Callithrix jacchus: one gene and its partners. The protein of the gene in region 2 purifies or fractionates together with the protein of the main gene of each other region. This does not show direct contact. Links are inferred from orthologs where the notes say so. Each region holds a gene or a part of one and is shown on either strand. Other genes may lie near its edges.

Region 1 (6,567 bases), on a different chromosome or scaffold from region 2:
GTATATGCTATATGTGTATATATCTATATATACATACATCTATATATAAATATACACTATTTATAGTGCACATTTTCTGTATAACATGCACATCAAACATGCCATATTTCCACTCAAGTTTTTTAGAATTTTTTGTTTTTAAGAGATCGTTAATAGTTTTAAACATGCACTGTTTCCAAGATGGCACTTAAGCAGGACAAGTGACTGAACTGAAAAAAAAAAAAAAAATTTCACTCAAAGTTTTCAAAATGGTATTCAAATTAAAGACGCTGTTCCTTCCGCATGGTAACGAAGGAGAATATGGCAAGAATTAACCTCACAGCAACTTAAAAGAGGTAAAATACCCTCCTCATATCAAAGAATAAAATCATATTGCAAAGCCACTAACAAATAAAATAGAGCTAATATAGCTCTCATTTTTTTTCACCCACTCTGCCTTTTTTTTTTTTGAGACAAAGTTTCACTCTTGTTGCCCAGGCTGGAGCGCAATAGCTCAATCTCGGCTCACTGCAACCTCCACCTTCTGGGTTCAAACAGTTCTCCTGCCTCAGCCTACCGAGCAGCTGGGATTACAGGCACCCGCCACCACATCTGGCTAATTTTATTTTTTAGTAGAGACGGGGTTTCACCATGTTGACCAGGCTGGTCTTGAACTCAGGTGATCCACTCGTCTCAGACTCCCAAAGTGCAGGGGTTATAAGCGTGAGCCACTGTGCCCAGCCAGCTCTAATTTTTCATGTGCCAGTGGTTAGCTTGCACTCTTCTCCCTGCCACTTGCTAGCTCTAACACCTTTACTTACCCTCTCTATGCCTAAATATCCTCATCTACAAGAGAATCACACACACTTCACAAGAGTGTGGTGAGAAATGAGTTAATGTACATACAGTACTGGGAACAGTATCCAGCACATCATAAGCACTCTGTGTTTGCTATTATTAATATTTTTATTATGCTTATCATCACTATAATTATTTTGACAGCAAAATGAAACAGATTAAATGTACCTGGTAAAGGTAGAAGGTTGATATTACATTTCTGGGCAATTCTCATCATCATATTTTCTTCCTCTCCCCGGCAACAGTAGGTCACTGTCAGTCCCAATGTACCTAAAGCAGAGAGAATGTTAGGTAGTAAATCATTTTCATAAAAATAACATTCAAAGCCCACCTGTCACATTATAGAGTCCTCCCCTTAAAGAAAGCACTGAAACTTTATTTACCAAAACGGCCAGCTCTGCCAATCCGATGCATATATGTCTCCCAATCCAACGGTACATCCAGATTTACAACCAGATTCACCTTCTCAGCATCAATCCCACGGGAAGTCTTGAATTGAAGAAGACAGTAATTATCTGTTTACACTAACTGTACAGCATGGCTACCAATGCATATTATATTCTTCCAGTATAGCCAAGAGCCAAATTAAACACAGAATATTGAGGAGCAGAGGAAAAGAAAATTCATTTCTGATGTCTAATTTCAAGGACAAAGATCAACCTATTAAAGACATTTTTAAGAAAGCATTTCCCTCAGCACTGGAAAGATAATTATCTTCTGGTATTCTTGTAGATACACTTACATAAAATAATAGATGAAAGCTGTACATCTGATAAAAGAACATATGTCAAGACAGATTAGTCACACAAACTAAACAGGAAATTTACCAAATCTGTGGAAATGAGGACTCTGCAATGAAACTGCTTCAGTTTAGCCATAGCATCAAGACGCTGATTCTGATTCATATTGCCTAAAAGGACCCCAAAAGAAAGTCATATAAAAACAACTAAGCTAATACATATTTATCAAATCCACAAAAAGTAAAAATCATAACGCCCAGTCTTAACACTTTTAACACACCAACCACAGTTAATTCTGTCCTTCTGTGCAAATCTAGGTTACGATCCAAAGTCAGAATCTTTTAAAAGATGGTTTAGGCAATCAACTTGAAATTCAAAATCAATTTTAAATAGTAATCAGGCCATGCATATAAATTCTATTTGCAGTTACATAAGAAGTATAACTAGCAATTCTTAGGAAAATAAAAATGCTTTATATCAGCTGTTTATAATTTGGTGTTAAAGTGTGATCTATAGTTAAAATATTGGTTCATTAGAAAATAGTCTCCCCAGTATCTCATGATAACTAAACAAGCTCAAGCCAACACGTTAAAAACTAAACTAACACAGGCGGGGCACAGTGGCTCACCCCTATAATTCCAGTACTTTGGGAGGATGAGGAGGGTGGATCACAAGGTCAGGAGTTCAAGACCAGCCTGGCCAATATGGTGAAACCCTGTCTCTACTTAAAAAAAAAAAAAAAAAAATTAAAAAAAATAAAAAGTCAAAAACTAAGCTAACACGAAACAAAACTCTAAAAATGATCTCGCTGATCCAAAAATCCTTTGACTCTTTCATTATGCCAGCAGTAATCATGTAACTCTGTGGCAAGAAGTCAATCACTCTGCCTTCCACAAAACCATAAAACAGTCAATTCAGTTAACAATCTCCAGCATCTTAACAGTGATTATTTAAAAAAAATTTTTTTTTCTAAAGAAAAATATTTTTATCTTAACACAGACATACTTGGTTTTATAGAATTAAGTTCTTTGTGGTTATACTCAGAGATATAAAATTACATCTCTCTGAACACTAGTTTTCTAACTTTTTACCATACACCAAATTACTCCTTAAAAATAGAAGGATATTGACATTTCAAATTCCAAAGAAAAATAAGCCTGAAAATTCCTTTACTCTAAAAAATACATGATAATTTTATATTCAGAAGACAACTCATAAAGTGGTATTTCTTCCTTCTGACTTTGGAGGCTTCAAGTCAGTATACTAAATAAAGATTAAAGTAAGAAATGAACTGACCTGAAATGCACTCAGCAGGGAAGCCTTTAGAAGAAAGGATATCAGCCAAATGTTGTGCTCTATGAAATAGAACATAAATAGTTACAAATTTACAAATATTGCCCCATGCCTATCCTTTTATTTCACAAGTTCCCCAGATGGCCTTTTAAGTTACATTACCTGCTATGCAAATTAGAGAAGACTAAAGCTTGATTAAATGGAATTCTGCTGAATAGTTCCTGTAAATACTGAATCTTTTCCTCAAAAACCTTATGTGCCAAAGGGTACGAATTGACAACTTTGTAATACTGCTTCAAACCTACAAAGAAGAGTTGTCAGTTAAAACAAACATACATGCTATAACCTAATAGATATCACGAAACAACAACAGACAACCAGGCAAGGAAAAGCTCCAGAATATCACAAACAAATCATGTAAGTAGCTAAAAGCTGCACATACCTATGAGACTTGGATCACTGGCATTCAGTCTTACAAAAGTGGGATCTCTCATGTACTTTGTCAAAGCATTAGCCAAAAATTCAGGGTAAGTAGCTGATACTGCTAGCATCTGTTTACTGGCAGGCAAGGAAGAATAAATCCAACTGCAAAATAAAAACATGTATCATGTAAATTATTCAGACAATAATCACCGCTCAGGAAAGCTAGATACTTTGGGACGCTGTTTTAATAGTCAAGTTAGCTATTTTTCTTACTTTATTTGCTCCTGGAAGCTTCCTTCTTCTAAAAGCTTATCTGCTTCATCAAGAATAAAGAGGCGTATACTGCCTGGGTTCAAGTAGTCAAGTTCTATGAGTTGCTTAATTCTGCCTAATTAAAAAAAAAAAAAATTGAAATATTTATGATGTACCAAATTTGTGTAAATCTCAGCCAATGTTGTTACTCTACTTATTCACAAGTTGTTCTGCTGAATTTCCTGATTCAACTCTCATTACACATGCTCACGCTAAACCATGAATTAGAAATCTTGAGCTCTGATCTTGCCTAAACTCACTGTTTTCCCCTCACATTTCATCACTAGTAAATAAACACCAATCCTAACAAAAATCCTAAAGCACTGAATGCAAGACTCTGATTCTGAGTGATTCACAACCAAATGCAATAGAGAAGCCAAAGAATAATCCCAGTCCATTGCTTAGAAGGGCCTCCTGAAAGTCAGCGCATTTCTTCTCAGAGGACTATCCCATGTGTTCTGAAACATCCTTAGGAATGGAAATTTCACAAATTCCACTGATAAACCAGTCATGTGCCTATATCTCATCAGTCTAATGCTCTTCGTTTCTAACCAAAATAATTATCACAGTTATCAAAGATTCCCATATATCTTTATTTTTATATTAAAAGTGTTTAGTTCCTTAAAAGCCCTGGTTACCAACAGGCACTGTTATCTTACCAGGAGATCCAACAGCAATATGACACTTTTTAAGTCTGGTTTTGTCTTGTGATAATGGGGTCCCTCCAATAAAGACATGACACTCCAAGCCTTCCATTTTTATTCCAATGGCTGTAATAACAGAATGTATCTGTACAGCAATTTCTCTTGTAGGGGCCAAGATCAAAATCTAAAAAACAAACAAACATAAATTATACCTTTGAGTCAGAGAAATACATGACACACTATATTTCATTTAAATGATCATTTCAATGAGTTTTTATTGATAGGGTAAAATATAGTTATCCCTTGGTATCCACAAGGGATTGGTCCCAGGAAGCCCCCAGATACCAAAACTGCAGATGCTCAAGTCTGTTATATAAGACTGTATATACCTGTATATTACCCATGTATATCCTCCCACATATTTTAAACCATCTCTAGATTACTTATAATACCTAATACAATTTAAATCCTATGTAAATTGTTATACTGTATTTTTGTTTGTATCTTTTTATTCTTTATTTTTTTAATTGTTCCCCCACCCCTCCCCTGAATATTTTTGATCCACAGTTGGCTGAATCAGCTAATACAGAACCTGAATATAGGGAGGGCTGACTGTATTCTATTCATTCATTCATTCAACAAATATTAAGTAAGAACCTACTATGTGCCAGGCAACATAGGGAGGGCTGACTGTATTCCATCCATTCATTCATTCATTTATTCAACAAATACTAAGTTAGAACCTACTGTGTGTTAGGCAACATACTAGTTGCTGGGGAACCAACAATTAACAGTACAGTCTTTGTCTTCATAGTACTTTCATTCTTAAATAATAAGAATACAATAAACAAAAATAAGTAATGACAGGTAATGAAAAGTAACATAAAAAAAATCACACAGGGAAAGAAGGAAGGAGTCATTTTAAATGAGGTAATCATGAGCCCTCCTCTAAGGAGGTAACACTTGAGCAGAGACCTACAAGTATGGCAGAGACCTGCAAGTATGGCATAGAGTAGAGCTGGCTATACAACACCTGGCAAAGCGTTTTCACGAAGAGAAAACAGCAAATGCAAAGGCCATAAGATGGCAGTGTTCTTGGGGTATTTGAGGAAGAAAAAGAAGGCCCACATGGCTATACAGAATTAGTGGGAAAGTAAAGTAAAGATCTAGCTCTAGGGGCTACATCACAAAAGCCTTGAGAGCCATGGTAAAAACTTTGCAATGTAACTACTGGAGAAGGCAAAAGCAATATTTTGTGCTCTTAACTACAGGAATAAAAACTTTATTAAAATAAAATACAAGACTGGGAGAAAACATGCCAAACTGTTAATAGCGGTTTCTCTCTAGGTAGTGAAATGATAGATTTTGTTTTCTGGTACTTCCTAATTTTTCTGAATTTTCCCAATTTTCAAAAATGAATATGTATTACTTTGATACACACAAAATATTAAAACATGAATTTTCCGGGCATAGTGGCTCACATCTGTGATCCCAGCACTTTGGGAGGCTGAGGCGGGTGGATATCCTGAGTCAGGAGTTTGAAACCAGCCTGGCCAACATGAAAAAACTCCATCTCTACTAAAAATACAAAAAAAATTAGCTGGGTGTGTGGTGTGCACACCTGTAATCCCAGCTACTCGGGAGGCTGAGGCAGGAAAATCACTTGAACCTGGGAGGCGGAGATTGCAGTGAGCCAAGACTGTGCCATTGCACTCCAACCTAAGCAACAGAATGAGACTTCATCTCAAAAAAAAAAAAATGAATTTATAAAACTTTTCCAGGATTTTAGCATTTTATCTGCTGCCAAATTGTCAGAAGCCAAAATCTCAAATACAGCCTAGTCTACAATTAGACTAGCTCAGGTTCTTGCAAAGTAGGAGGATTTCCAATGTGCAACATCACCTAGGATTTGGCAGATATAAGACAGACTCAACAAGCTTCTCGGGGAATTAACATGGGTATCTGGGTTAAAAACCATTGTTGAAGATTCATCATTAGATATACCAATGCCTGAGAACTTGAAATACAGTCTGCCATAAAAACTAAACTACAAAGTAAGGTTATGACAATCACATCTAATTCATCTTTGAATCCCCAATGCCTGGCATATCGTTTATACATAATATGGGTTCAACCAATCTTTGTTGAAAAAATGATCCCCAAACCCAAATTTCTTGCTAATTTGGGTAAGGCAATCTTAGAAACCCTCTCTAAGACAACCTAGAAGACAGGAGATCATATGATACATTTACAGAGCTTTAAGAACAACCCGCGCCGGGCACGGTGGCTCATGCCTGTAATCTCAGCACTTTGGGAGG
Region 2 (6,567 bases):
CTCCAGTACCTCAGTATGTGACCGTATTTGGAGACAGAGCTTTTAAATAAGTGATTAATTTAAATTGAGACCATTAGGGTCAGCCCTAATCCAATCTTACTAGTGTCCTTGTAAGAGGAAATGTGAACTCACAAAGAGAGAACCAGGGACTCTCACACACACAGAAAAGAGGAGAAGGTGGCCATATGCAAGCCATGGAAAAAGCCTTAGAAGATACCAACCTTAGGTTGGGCATGGTGGTTCATGCCTGTAATCCCAATACTTTGGGAAGCTAACGTGGGCAGATCACCTGAGGTCAGGAGTTTGAGACTAGCCTGGCCAACATGGTGAAACCCTACCTTTTTTTGGTACTAAAATTACAAAAAAAAATGAGCTGAGCATGGTGGCGCGCACCTGTAATCCCAGCTACTCGGAGGCTGGGGCAAGAGAATCGCTTTAACCCAGGAGGTGGAGGCTGAAGTCAGCTGAGATCATGTCATTGCACTCCAGCCTCGGCAACAAAAGTGAAACTCTGTCAAAAAAAAAAAAAAAAAAAGAAGAAGAAGAAGAGACCAAACTTGCTGCCACCTTGTTCTTGGACTTTCAACCTTCAAGACTGTGAGAAAATAAATTTCTGTTGTTTAAGCCACCTAGTCTGTTACGGCAGCCCTGGCAAACATATTGCCTAAGTGGCTATACAATATGTGGGACATGTTGTTTTTTCTTATTTTATTATTATATTTTTTGAGTCAGGGTCTTCCTCTGTCACCTAGGTTGGAGTGCAAAGGTATGATTACAGTTCATGGCAGCCTGAATCTCCCAAGCTCAAGCAATTTTGCCACCTCAGCCTCTTGGGTAGCTGAGATTACAGGCACGTACCACCACGCCTGGCTAATTTTTAAATTTTTTTGCAGAGATAGTTGTCTCAACTATGTTGACCAGGCTGGTCTCAAACTCCTGGCCTCAAGCAATTCTTCTGCTTTGGCTTCCCAAAGTGCTGGGATACAAGTGTGAGCCACTGTGCCCAGCTAAGATGTGTTTAGTTTGGACCAGACTAATGGACACTGACAGATAAGGGTGTGTCCAAAAGAGAATGATAAAGACAGAAACAAGTACGGGGGAAAAAATGCACCAAGAATGCTTAATGGAATGAAGGATGTTTATCTCATATACAGAGACATGATTACATATTTGACATGTTTGAAGGGCTGTCCAATCCAAGAAGAAACAGATCTACTCTCTGCTGCCAGACAGAAAAAGCAGGACTAGTTGGGAGAAGCATTCAGCTCAATATAATCTCCTTAACAAAACAACTTTTATTTGTACCTATCACCTTGCACATTACTCTGCATTGGTACATTCCCCCCTCCCCGGGAATAAATAGCTTTCATTAAATCCTCAGCATGGATCACCTGAGGTCAGGAGTTCGAGACCAGCCTGGCCAATATGGTGACACCTCATCTCTACTAAAAATACAAAATTAGCCAGGTACAGTGGTGGGCGCGTCTAATTCCAGCTATTCGGGAGGCTGAGGCTGATTGCTTGAACCTGGGAGGCAGAGGTTACAATGAGCCGAGATCATGCCATTGCACTCCAGTCGGGGCAATAAGAGTGAAACCCCATCTCAAAATAAAATAAAATAAAACAAAACCTCAGGATGATCATGAGACACTAAAAAGTTAAACCCTATTGTCTTGGAACAAAGTATCTATCTTTTCCTATCATTCCATTAGGTCAGAAGTTGTTTCTGTTTCAGTTAGTACTAAATATCCTGATTATTAAATATAATACCTGCTTAATAAATTATTGGATCAATTAATATTTATGTTTTCACACAGTTTCCATCAGAGTGTACTTTATTTATTTTTTAAATAATTTAAATAGAAATGGGGTTTTGCCATGTTGTCTAGGCTGGTCTTAAACTCCTGAGTACAGGTGATGGGCCTGCTTTAGCCTCCCCAAGTGCTGGGATTACAGGCATGAGCCATCGTGCCTGGCCCAGAGTGTACTTTAAAATATTTTCATTTTATTATGTGTATGATGTTTACATTTGCCATGATAAACATCTATAATTGCTACATAATATTCCACTGTTCTGATGGGCCATAGTTTATTGAATCAATTATGTTAGGTAATTTCCATTTTTGACAAAATTTTATCAAGTCATATTACTGACGTGGCTTTTTTTTTTTTTTTGAGTCAGAGTCTTGCTCTGTCACCAGGCTGGAGTGCATGATCTCAGCTCACTGCAACCTCTGCCTCCCGGGTTCAAGTGATTCTGTTGCCTCAGCCTCCCGAGTAGCTGGGACTACAGGTGTGCGCCATCATGCCTGGCTAATTTTTGAACTTTTAGTAGAGACAAGATTTCACTATATTGGCCAGGATGGTCTCAATCTCTTGACCTCCGGATCCTCCTGCCTCAGCCTCTCAAAGTGCTGGGATTACAGGTGTGAGCCACCTTGCCTGGCCGTGGCTTCTTTTTTAATTAGTGGGCATGCACCCAAAAGCCGTTCCACTGAGTAAGAAAAAAATATATTTACCTACCTGTCCCAGTCCCTACTACATACATATACCCTTCTGACTAGGAAGGCACCATTACATAGTCAAAGGCACAAAGGCTTTAGAGACAGCCTTGAGTTTGAACCCTAAGCATACTTTTTGTGTGTGTATGTGCACATGCTTCTTTGATAGAAGGACTAGCTATACCTTTTATGAGTTAAATGTCCTTTGGCAAGTGATAAGTTACTTCCCTTAACACTTTTCCTGGAGCAGAGCTTCCAAATGGTATGCAGAAGAATAGAGAGATGCCATATACTGAATCTCTCAGCTTTCGGCTGGTTTCAGGAAGAATATGCAAGCAGTCATTTATTCTAATGCATCACCCCGTAAAAGATATCAAGAAGCACTGTCTACAGGAAGCTTCTAAAATCTGAAATCTATGAACTACCTGAAACTAAAATTTTGTGCATAGGTGCATTTTTTCCCCTCTGAAGATAAAGAGCTTTCATTAGGTCCTCAGAAAAAAATACGAAATCCCCTAAAAGGTTAAAAACTACTGTCCTGAGACAATGTATCATCTTTCCAACTCCTTTTTTCATTTGGTAGTCCTGATATATCTAGTGAAGAGCTTAAAATTATATTTAAAGATAAAATGTAGGACATATGCATGACAGTATACAAGACAGGCTTTACTTATATGTCACTGGAATTGTGATGCAGACTCATCACATTAAGTAGAAGCAGAATCATTTACAAGTTCTGTAAATGTGTGGGTTTACTGCATGGTACTATCACCTCATCAAGAAAATCCATTAAGTCTTTATTAAATCTTTTTATAAATATTAAAAATGTATTAATTTCCTAGAAAGTAAATGCCTAGAAGAATCCTTAAAAACTTGTAGAAGCTTAACAGTCACCTATCCAAAGTCCCCCAAGATATTGTGAATTAAAATTGACATGAAAGGCTGGGTACAGTAGCTGATGCTTGTAATCTAGCACTCTGGGAGGCTAAGGCAGGAGGATCTCTTGAGCCCAGGAGTAAGAGACCAGCCTGGATAATAAAGGGAGACCCCGCCTCTACAAAATATTTTAAAAATTAGATGGGCATGGTGGTATGTGCCTTTAGTTTACGCTACTTGGGAGGCTGAGGTGGGAGGATCACTTGAGCCCAGGAGGTTGAGGCTGCAGCAAGCTGTGATTGTGCAACTGCACTTCACCCTGGGAGATACAGCAAGACCCTGTCTCAAAAAAAAAAAAAACTGTCATGAAAATCTATACTTTTCAGGCTACTAATGTAATGGAATTGCTACTATTAATGGTATATTGAAAAGAATGAAAATAACACTGAATAGGAAGTGAATCTTTAAAGACTGCAAGTAAATGTAGTTTCTTTCAATCAAGTATATATTGTACAACTTAAAACTGAGAAACTTACATACCATGGTCACATTACTATCCAACTGTTGTGATTTCCAGTGACTTCTATGTTTGTTCACATTCTAAAGGAAGAAAAGTTATACGTTAGTACTCTTCAAAAAATGGGTAACTGAAAAGAAATCAGTTTCTGCACAAAATTTTAACCATCTAAAACTTGGAAAATGGGAAGGGTGGGAGGGGGTGAAGTATAAAAGTCTACTTATTGGGTAAAGAGTACACTGCTTGGGTGATGAGTGCACCAAAAGCTCAGAAATCACTACAAAAGAACTCAACCATGTAACCAAAACTCACCTGTTCCCCAAAACTATTGAAATAAACAAAATAAATAAAACTTATACAATGTTTCAAACTGTATTATGTCTAACAATTATAATAACTTGGTAATTCATGAATATTCTGTATACTTTAGGATCATAAATTTTATTTTTCTATCTACAGTCTAGGAATAGAAATAAATCCAACAGGGGCTTAATTAGATTAAATATGACACTTTACCTGTCGAACAGTTGAAAACTGTGCCACTTGTTGCTGTTGCCACTGAAGTGTTGGTGAATAACCTTCAGGGGCGGGTTGGCATCCTGAAAGCTAGAGATCAGGTCACAAATACTAGGATTAATATTAGTGTCAAAACTAGAATCTCATGCTTTTGCAAAGCAAAAGTAAAACCAAGATAAAGTGTATAATAAAGGTTAGACAAGAAAAATAAAATACAGCCGGGTGCAGTGGCTGATGCCTGTATTCCATCACTTTGGGAGGCTGAGGCAAGTGGATCGCCTGAGGTCAGGAGTTTGAGACTAGTCTGGCCAACATAGTGAAACCCCGTCTCTACAAAAAGTTAGCTGGTATAGTGGCGGGTGCCTATAATCCCAGCTACTAGGGAGGCTGAGGCAGGAGAATTGTTTGAACCCAGCAGGTGGAGGCTGCAGTGAACTGAGATCATGCCACTTCACGCAGCCTGGGCAACAAGAGCAAAATTCCGTTGCAAAAAAAAAAAAAAAAGAAAGAAAGAAAATATTTCTTACAGATGTAAAAAAGTAGACATTTCACTTTTCTATTTATTTATATCCCAGTTAAAAACATTAGGGAAAGAGCCTTAGTCAATTTAATAAGAGAAATCTGGAAAGGCTTATACTTGGAGTTTCTTTTTTTTTGAGACAGAGTTTCACTCTTGTTACCCAGGCTGGAGTGCAATGGCACGATCTCGGCTCACCGCACCCTCCACCTCCTGGGTTCAGGCAATTCTCCTGCCTCAGCCTCCTGAGTAGCTGGGATTACAGGCACGCACCACCATGCCCAGCTAATTTTTTATATTTTTAGTAGAGGCGGGGTTTCACCATGTTGACCAGGATGGTCTCAATCTCTTGACCTCGTGATCCACCCGCCTCGGCCTCCCAAAGTGCTGGGATTACATGCTTGAGCCACCGCGCCCGGCCCTATACTTGGAGTTTCTATGAAATCTAAATGACGTTAGCCCAGAGGATATGATCTAGTCCTACCTGCCTTTCTAGAATATCAAACAGAAACAAAAAGAGAGACATACCGTTTCAATCAATCCATCCATCTATCAAATTAGGTATATAAGACATTCTGTTCCATTAAATGTCTATCAACTAATGAGCCGAGACCGTGCCACTGTACTTCAGCCTGGGTGACAGAGCAAGACTCTGTCTCAAAAAAATAAATCAATCAACTAAAAAATCCTGAAGAGGAATTACAGGAAACATTATAGTGTCTGAATTAAAATTTTCTGATTATAAATATCAGATAGAGAAATTACTTTCAACATGAAAAGGAAATTACTATCAACAATTTAAAATGCCACCTCCTTTAAGCTTAGGTTAAATAGCACCTCCTTAGAGAGACCTTCGCTGGCCAGGCGTGGTGGCTCACGCCTGTAATCCCAACACGTTAGGAGGCTGAAGCAGGCAGATCACTTGAGGTCAGGAGTTCAAGACCAGCCTGGCCAACATGGTAAAACCCCATCTCCACTAAAAATACAAAAATTAGCTAGGTGTGGTAGCACACACCTGTAATCCCAGCTACTCAGGAGGCTGAGGCAGGAGACTCTCTTGAACCCGGGAGGTGGAGGTTGCAGTGAGCCAAGATCACACCACTGCATTCCAGCCTGGGCGAAAAAGCAAGACTCAAAAAAAAAGGGGGGGGGGAGGGAAGAAAGACCTTCTGTGATTCCTCTATCTACAGTAGTTCTGTCATTTATTGATTATTACATATGCTTATTTTCTTCATAGCAATAGTCACAACATGTAATTATTTGTTTGCCTGTTTACTCTCTGTCTACAAGGGTAGGATCCTTTTTTATCTTATCCTCTGTTACATTCCCAGTGCCTGGCACAACGTAGTCCCTTAATTAAAAATGTGCTGGATAAATAAATAAACGAAAATGTCCACAGTGTGCAAGTAGCTGTAAAAGTGTAAGATATCTGAGTTTCTATTTTGACAAAAAGTGGAACTTTATCAAATTCAGAACACACAAAGCACAATAGGATTAAACACCAATCTAGTAACTGGAAAAAGATTCCTTAGGAAAAAAAAAAAAGGAGGGCCCAGTGCGGTGGCTCACGCCTGTAATCCCAGCACTTTGTGAGGCCGAGGTGGGCAGATCACCTGAGTTCAGGAGTTCCAGCCTAGCCA
Region 3 (7,168 bases), on a different chromosome or scaffold from region 2:
TCCCAAAGTGCTGGGATTACAGCCTTGAGCCACCGCGCCCCGCCAGGTCTTCTATTTTTTGATGCAAAGTCTTGCTATGTGACCCAGGGTGGAGTACAATGGCGCGACCTCGGCTCACTGCAACCTCCACCTCCCAGGTTCAAGCGATTCTACGTCCTGCTTTCCCCTCTGTGCTGTCTCTACAAGGAACCCACTAGCAATCGTGTGTTTCTAAAAGGAACCCAGGAACTGACTAGAATCGTTCAAGTGATTCTCCTGCCTCAGCCTCCTGAGTACCTGGGATTACAGGTAAACGACACTATGCTGGCTAATTTTTGTACTTTTAGTAGAGAGGAGGTTTCACCATATTGGCCAGGTTGGTCTAGAACTTCTGACTGTAAGTCTTTCTTTAAAAAGTAATTCTAGGCCGGGCGCAGTGGCTCACGCCTATAATCCCAGCACTTTGGGAAGCCAAGGCAGGTCATGAGGTCAAGAGATGGAGAACATCCTGGTCAACAAGGTGAAACACCGTCTCTACTAAAAATACAAAAATTAGTTGGGCATGGTGGTGCACGCCTGTAGTCCCAGTTACTCGGGAGGCTGAGGCAGGAGAATTGCTTGAACCCAGGAGGCGGAGGTTGCGGTGAGCCGAGATCGTGCCATTGCACTCCAGCCTGGGTAACAAGAGCGAAACTCCGTCGCAAAAAAAAAAAAAAGTAATTCTATCCTATTTATCAAAAGCATCAATCTGCAACAGATTGGAAACTGCCCTTCACCAATGACAGTTTGAAAAGCACTGGCACAGGTGACACCTAGCTTAAAAATACAGTGCTGAAGGTCCCTGTCTTCCATATTCAGGAAACACGCTGCTTCTCACAGCTCCAAGCATCACTCACATTGAACAAAGTGCCAGAAGATGTGATGGGAGCGGAGTTACGGGAGGGCCCTGTTTATGAGAGTCAGTTAAGAGGACCAGGCCTGAAGCAACATGAGCTGACAGGACAGGACTCCGAAGCCCACACTGCACACCCTCTGAGTGCCAGGGCAGCACTTAAAGGTGTCACCAACCATGCATTAAATAGTAACTGGTTGCTGGACGTGGTGGCTCACGCCTGTAATCCCAGCAGTTTGGAAGGTCAAGGCTGGTGGATCACTGGAGGTCAGGGGTTCGAAACCAGCCTGGCCAACATGGCGAACCCCTATCTCTACTAACAATACAAAATTGGCCAGGCATGGTGGCACATGCCTGTAATCCCAGCTACTGGAAAGGCTGAGGCAGAACTGCTTGAACTGAAGGCTGCAGTGAGCTGAAATCACACCACTGCACTCCAGCCTGCGCAACAAAAGTGAAACTCAGTCTCATAAATAGTAACTGGCACATCATCATCAGAGGGCATCTACCACCTGCCTGTGCCCATTAAATTAAGTTAATTGGCTAGTAACATTTCTTAAGTGCTGGTTCATCCAGGGTGGCAAATCCCAATGAAGATCCACCTTCCTATTATCTGTGAACTTGTTTTTTTTTTTTGAGATGGAGTCTCACTCTGTCGACCAGGCTGGACTGCAATAGTGTGATCTCGGCTCACTGCAACCTTCACCTTCCAAGTTCAAGCGATTCTCTTGCCTCAGCCTCCCAAGTAGCTGGGACTGCGGACACGTGCCACCACGCCCAGGTAGTTTTGGTATTTTTAGTAGAAACAGAGTTTCACTACATTGGCCAGGCTGGTCTCCAACTCCTGACTTCGTGATCTGCCTGCCTCAGCCTCCCAAAGTGCTGAGATTACAAGTGTGAGCCACCACGCCCGTCCTATCTAAGAAGTTCTGCTCTGCAACTCCCTCCACCTCCAGCTGCCCATTCCTACCCAATGCGAGAATGTTCTTGTAACTTCTGGCTGTGTGCCAGCTTTCCTCAGGTGTCCTCAGATACGCCTACAAGATGACCATTGTCATCCCAATTTCACAAATAAAAACAGAGAGGTCCAGGAGCCTAAGTCATTCATTCCTGAAGTCATTTACCCTGAAGGTGCAGAACTAAGATCCTGGTCTGGGGTTTTAAGCCCTCCAACGCTCGGTGCTAGCCCTTTATGAACACCATCTTATTAACAATAAAAGTAGTAAACAGAGTAGCAAAGGCCGACATAGGCTGCCTGCTTGATGCCAAGCCCCCTGACATACACATTGCCATTTAATTCTCCACCAACAGTATGAGGGGTGCTACCACTATCCCCTTGCTAAAGATAAAGAAACCAATGCATTAAGATACACATTTGCCCAAACTCACAGAGCTATTAAATGGTGCAAGCCAAGTGTGAATCCTCAACCACTACTCAACTGAACTTTCTCACAGAAATTCTACAAAAGGTATACCATCAACCCCACTTTTTTTTTGAAATGGGAGCCTCACTCTGTTGCCCAGGCTGGAGTACAGTGGGACAATCTCGACTCACTGCAATGACTGCCTCCCGGGTTCAAGTGATTCTTCTGCCTCGGCCTCCCAAGTAGTTGGGACTAGCAAGCACCATCACGCCCGGTTAAGTTTTGTATTTTTAGTTGAGATGGGATTTCACCATATTGACCAGGCTAGTCTTGAACTTCTGACCTCAGGTGATCCACCTGCCTCAGCCTTCCAAAGTGCTGGGATTACAGGTGTGAGCCACTGAGCCCAGCCTCACTTTGTCTGTTTGTTCGGAGACAGTACTTTCTATTGCCCAGGTTGGAGTGCAACGGTTCCATCTGGGCTCACTGCAACCTCTGCCCTTCGGGTTCAAGTGATTCTCCTGCCTCAGTCTCCCGAGTAGCTGGGATTACAGGTACCCACCACCATGCCCAGCTAATTTTCCTATTTTTAGTAGAGACAGGATTTCATCATGTTGGCCAGGTTGGTCTTGAACTCCTGACCTCAGGTGATCCACCCGCCTCAGCCTCCCAAAGTACTGGAAATTACAAGCATAAGCTACCGCACCTGGCCACAAGTCCACTTTAAAAAAAAAAAAAAAAAAATTTTTTTTAAGAGATGAGGTCCTGTTCTGTCACCGAGGCCGGAGTATAGTGGCGCAATCACAAAGCAATCCAGCCTCCAACTCCTGGGCTCAAGCAATCCTCCCACCTCAGCCTCCTGAGTAGCTGGAACTACAGGTGCACTCGACCACACCTGGCTCCAACCCCATTTAAAACAGGGAAACTGAGGATCACAAAGATGAAGCCAGTCGCTTAAATCACACAGCTAGCAAATCCAGTCAGAGGCTGGACTCCCAGATCCAATCCTTGCACCCCACAACCCAAACCATTCCTGGCCTGCTCAGTGAACTCACCTCAAACTCTCGAATGTACGGCGCAATGCCACAGTAAGGTTGATTGTGGTGTTTTTCATGTGGCAGTTTCTCCAGGGGTGGCAGGTATGGGATAGGGTCACGGGGGGCAAAAAGGGCCAGAAGGTTGGGCGGCAGGAACTGGGTCATCTTGCCAAGTCTGAGAGCAGAAGCAGGACAGCCTTAGGTTAGATTGGGTCTGCACAGAGAAAGCCCCTATTTGTCCCCTGACTCTCAAAAAAAAAAAAAAAAAGAAAAAGAGAGAAAACAGGAGTAAAGTCTCGGAATTCGAAGAGGCTCTGAAAGGGCAGAGAACCGTCCTACGCTAGAAGAGAAAAGGGCATCTCTTGGTGGGGGTGGAGGTGAAAATCAGGCCCGTAAAGGAAACAAAAAACAAAGGCTGGAAAAGGGTTCCTGAGCAGTGAGGTCTCAGAGTCCTGACCCACGAGCTGTGTGGCGGAGAGCTTCCCTGGGGATTTCTGGGGGAATCAAGGACCCGAGAAAGGAGGCACAGAGCAGTTGTGGCTGGCTGCTCGTCTCGTATCTTGGAGGACAAATTATGAGATGCGGTTTGCAGAGGCCTGGAGGTCTGAAGTCTCCGGGCAAAGAGAAACATAAGCAGCGAAGCCCCAAAGCCAAGCGCCTGTGGGTAACAGACCTGGGCGCCCCCAAGACGAAAGGAATTATGGGTAAAGGTCCAGGACAACATGGAAAGACGAAAAAGAAAAAAGGCCATACACCGCAAGGGCCTGTGGGTAGGGGACCTAGGACGCTACGGGAAGCAGGCGTGGGTGCGCAGAGGGCTCGGGTTTCGGGAAAGGGATGCAGAAGGGACCTGCAGCAGGGGACGCGGCAAAGGGGCCTGGCTGCAGGTAAAAGTACCGGGGCCCACCGCAGGGGCTTGTGGGTAGCGGCCCAGCACCCCGGACCACTCGGCCACACTCACTCGCCGCGCGGCGCCCTCCTGGGTCTGGCGTCGGTCCGGAGGCTCGGGGCGGCTGCGGCGGCCCCTCAGCAACAAGAACTTCCGCTTTGGCTTCCACTCCGACGGCGTCCGCGTCTGCCTGACTCCCTTGCCCGCGCAGCGAGCGCACAAGGCCGCTGCTCAACAACCCGCGCGGCCTCAGCTACCGACTGGAGCAGGGGGTGGGTCTCGACCTGAAATCCCTCCGCCGTCAGCACTGCGCATGCGCCGCGAGAGGCCAAGACCTACCCACACACCAGGCCCAGGAGCCGTCGCTGGCAAAGCGCACGCGCGAGGTCACTACCCCGCCTTCGGGCACCTTGAGTACCTCAGTCTCCTGGAGCTGGCGTCTGCGCTGCGCGCGCGCGCTCAGCCCCAAGCCGCCCCTCCACCTGCCGCTTTCCGCTCCGAACCGCCTATGTCCACGAGACTCTCTCTGACGCTCCGCCCCTTTCCCGATCACACTTCCCTGATTTTTTTCGCGCATGCGTGTTGTGTAGAGTACTGTAACGTACCTCTCCGCCGCCTAGCAAAGAGTCCCTAAGTGAATAGCCTGATTGCGTTGATGTCTAATCTATTCAATCAACTGCTCATCGAGCATCTCGTATGTGCTAGGCACTGTCTGGGCTTTGGGGGCTACAGCACGTGACTAAAGCAAAGTCTTCTCCTGCTTGGGCTTACATTGTACTGAGGGAGACAATAAAAGCGCTTGACTGAATAAAGATAGTTTAAGGGCTGGGCCCGGTGGCTCACTCCTGTAATCCCATCACTTGGGAGGCCGAGGCAGGCGGATCACCCGAGATCAATTGTTCGAGACCAGCATGGCCAACATGGTGAAACCCCGTCTCTACAAAAAAATACAAAAATTGGCCGGGCATGGTGGTGTGAGCCTGTAACCTCAGCTACTCTGGAGGCTGAGGCAGAAGAATCGCTTGAACCCAGGAGCCAGAGGTTGCCCTGAGCAGAGATCACCGCCATTGCACTCCAGCCTGGGTGACAAGAGCGACACTCTATCTTAAAATAATAATAATAATTTGAGATGGTGACCAGCATAATAAAGAAGGACAGAGCAGAGTAAAGGGATGGGAAGTGAGAGTGAGGCCATTTTATAAAGGGTGATAACGGAAGGCTCCTCTGAAGTGTCATTTGAACAAAGGCCAGATAGAAGCAAGATCGGGGGACGGGGAGGGTTAACAGCAGGCGCAAAGGTCCTGAACTGGGACCAGATGGCAGGAATCTCAGGTTGTTGGCCGTGAGATCAGAGAGCTGGCATTTATTTTATTTAAGGCCCTGTTGTTAAGTATTGCATTTTAAGTTTTGTGGATGGATTCAATAGCCTGTTTAATAACTATAGAAATTATTGCAAAATTCAAATGACTAATTTTCAAGAAAAAGGCCAGCAACTCAGGAGGCTGAGGCAGGAGAATCGCTTTAACCTAGGAGGCAGAGATTGCAGTGAGCTGAGATCGTGCCATTTCACTCCAGTCTGGGCAACAAATTGAGACTCACTTTCCAAAAAAAAAAAAAAAAAAAAAATGCCAAGTGCATTGGCTCATGCCTGTAATCCTAACACTTTGAGAGGCTGAGGTGGGTGGATCATGAGGTAAGGAGTTCAAGACCAGGCTGACCAACATGGTGAAACCCTGTCTCTACTAAAAAATACAAAAATTAGCTGGGCATGGTGGCTCCTACCTGTAATCCCAGCTACTTGGGAGGCTGAGGTAGGAGAATTGCTTGAACCAGGACCCAGGAGACGGAGGTTGCAGTGAGTTAAGATCACACCACTGCACTCCAGCCTGGGCTACAGAGTGAGACTCTATCTCAAAACAAATGCTCTTTCTTCTCTTCCACGTTGCCAGTTTGTGATTTTTCCAAACTTTTCTGCTGTGCTGCTTCCTATTTATGTATGTATTTATTTTCCAGAGACAGGGTTTCACTGTGTCACCCAGGCTGGTGTGCAGTGGCTATTCGCTGTGTCACCCAGGCGGTGTACAGTGGCTATTCACTGCCATGATCCCACTCACGTCGATCAGGAGTTTTGACCCGCTCCATTTCCAGCCTTAGGCTAGTTCACCCCTTGCCAGGCAACCTGGTAGTCTCCCGCTCCTGGGAGGTTACCATATGGAAGCCAAACTTAGTACGGACACCCAGTTGCTGGGGGGGACGGCAATGGAAGGAGGGCTCACAGAGTGCCTCTGTAAAATAGCTGCAAACGGTGGGAACAGTAAAAAGCAGCAAACTGCCCGGCCTCTGGGGAGGCAGACGTCCCCAAGCCTTCTTGTTCCACGTGCAGAGTGACCTTGACTCTGTAACAGTACATAACACGCTCAAGGGCTTTAAACCCTTTTGCAGCATTACAAAGTAACCAGACTTGTAGGCCCACCAGCTACGTTGTCTATTGGTAAGCATACGTTTTTAGCGCTTGAGAAACTCACATGAACTGCCACTGTTAACAGTTATGTGTTTCATGCACAGCCTCCCTCCACCGACTCACCCTGCCGCCTGCACTACAGATAATAGCGATCGTGTTCAGTATATACTGGGCCTTCACTGCCTCCAGTAAAGAAGTGATCATCCCCTGGTCCTGCTTTCTCTCCTAATCTATCTTTTTCTAATTCCTTTGTCACCACTGAACTCAGGGTACCCATGGATGGGTGTGGGGCTGGCTCCCTACACCAGTCAGCATAATACAGTACAGCCCAGAACTCCTGTGCTCAAACAATCCTCCCACCTCAGCCTCCAAGTAGCTAGGACTGCAGGCACATGCCACATGCCACAGAGCCTGACCACTTTCCCCCCTTTTTATTTTATTTTATTTTTTGTCTTGAGACAGTCTTGCTTTGTCACCCAGGCTGGAGTGCAGTGGTGTGATCTCGACTCACTGTAACCTACACCTCCTGGGTTCAAGCAATTCTTC

Evidence for each region.
Region 1: the proteins of GEMIN2 (region 2) and DDX20 purify together in Homo sapiens (affinity purification with mass spectrometry; 6 studies listed by BioGRID and IntAct, counting the BioPlex papers as one, with this or other methods). This does not show direct contact. The link is inferred for Callithrix jacchus from reciprocal best matches to the Homo sapiens genes GEMIN2 and DDX20.
Region 3: the proteins of GEMIN2 (region 2) and SNRNP70 purify together in Homo sapiens (affinity purification with mass spectrometry; 5 studies listed by BioGRID and IntAct, counting the BioPlex papers as one, with this or other methods). This does not show direct contact. The link is inferred for Callithrix jacchus from reciprocal best matches to the Homo sapiens genes GEMIN2 and SNRNP70.

Annotation. Positions count from the first base shown.
Region 1 is NC_133508.1:149,716,306-149,722,872, reverse strand, and holds part of DDX20 (putative ATP-dependent RNA helicase DDX20), read right to left. Parts: intron 4,434-6,567; coding exon 4,265-4,433; intron 3,682-4,264; coding exon 3,567-3,681; intron 3,456-3,566; coding exon 3,313-3,455; intron 3,172-3,312; coding exon 3,033-3,171; intron 2,933-3,032; coding exon 2,874-2,932; intron 1,748-2,873; coding exon 1,665-1,747; intron 1,327-1,664; coding exon 1,221-1,326; intron 1,108-1,220; coding exon 1,006-1,107; intron 1-1,005.
Region 2 is NC_133509.1:73,781,429-73,787,995, reverse strand, and holds part of GEMIN2 (gem-associated protein 2), read right to left. Parts: intron 4,501-6,567; coding exon 4,411-4,500; intron 3,978-4,410; coding exon 3,918-3,977; intron 1-3,917. UniProt on the Homo sapiens protein: The SMN complex catalyzes the assembly of small nuclear ribonucleoproteins (snRNPs), the building blocks of the spliceosome, and thereby plays an important role in the splicing of cellular pre-mRNAs.
Region 3 is NC_133523.1:42,898,387-42,905,554, reverse strand, and holds the start of SNRNP70 (U1 small nuclear ribonucleoprotein 70 kDa), read right to left. Parts: upstream 4,424-7,168; 5' UTR 4,230-4,423; intron 3,448-4,229; 5' UTR 3,438-3,447; coding exon 3,291-3,437; intron 1-3,290. UniProt on the Homo sapiens protein: Component of the spliceosomal U1 snRNP, which is essential for recognition of the pre-mRNA 5' splice-site and the subsequent assembly of the spliceosome. SNRNP70 binds to the loop I region of U1-snRNA.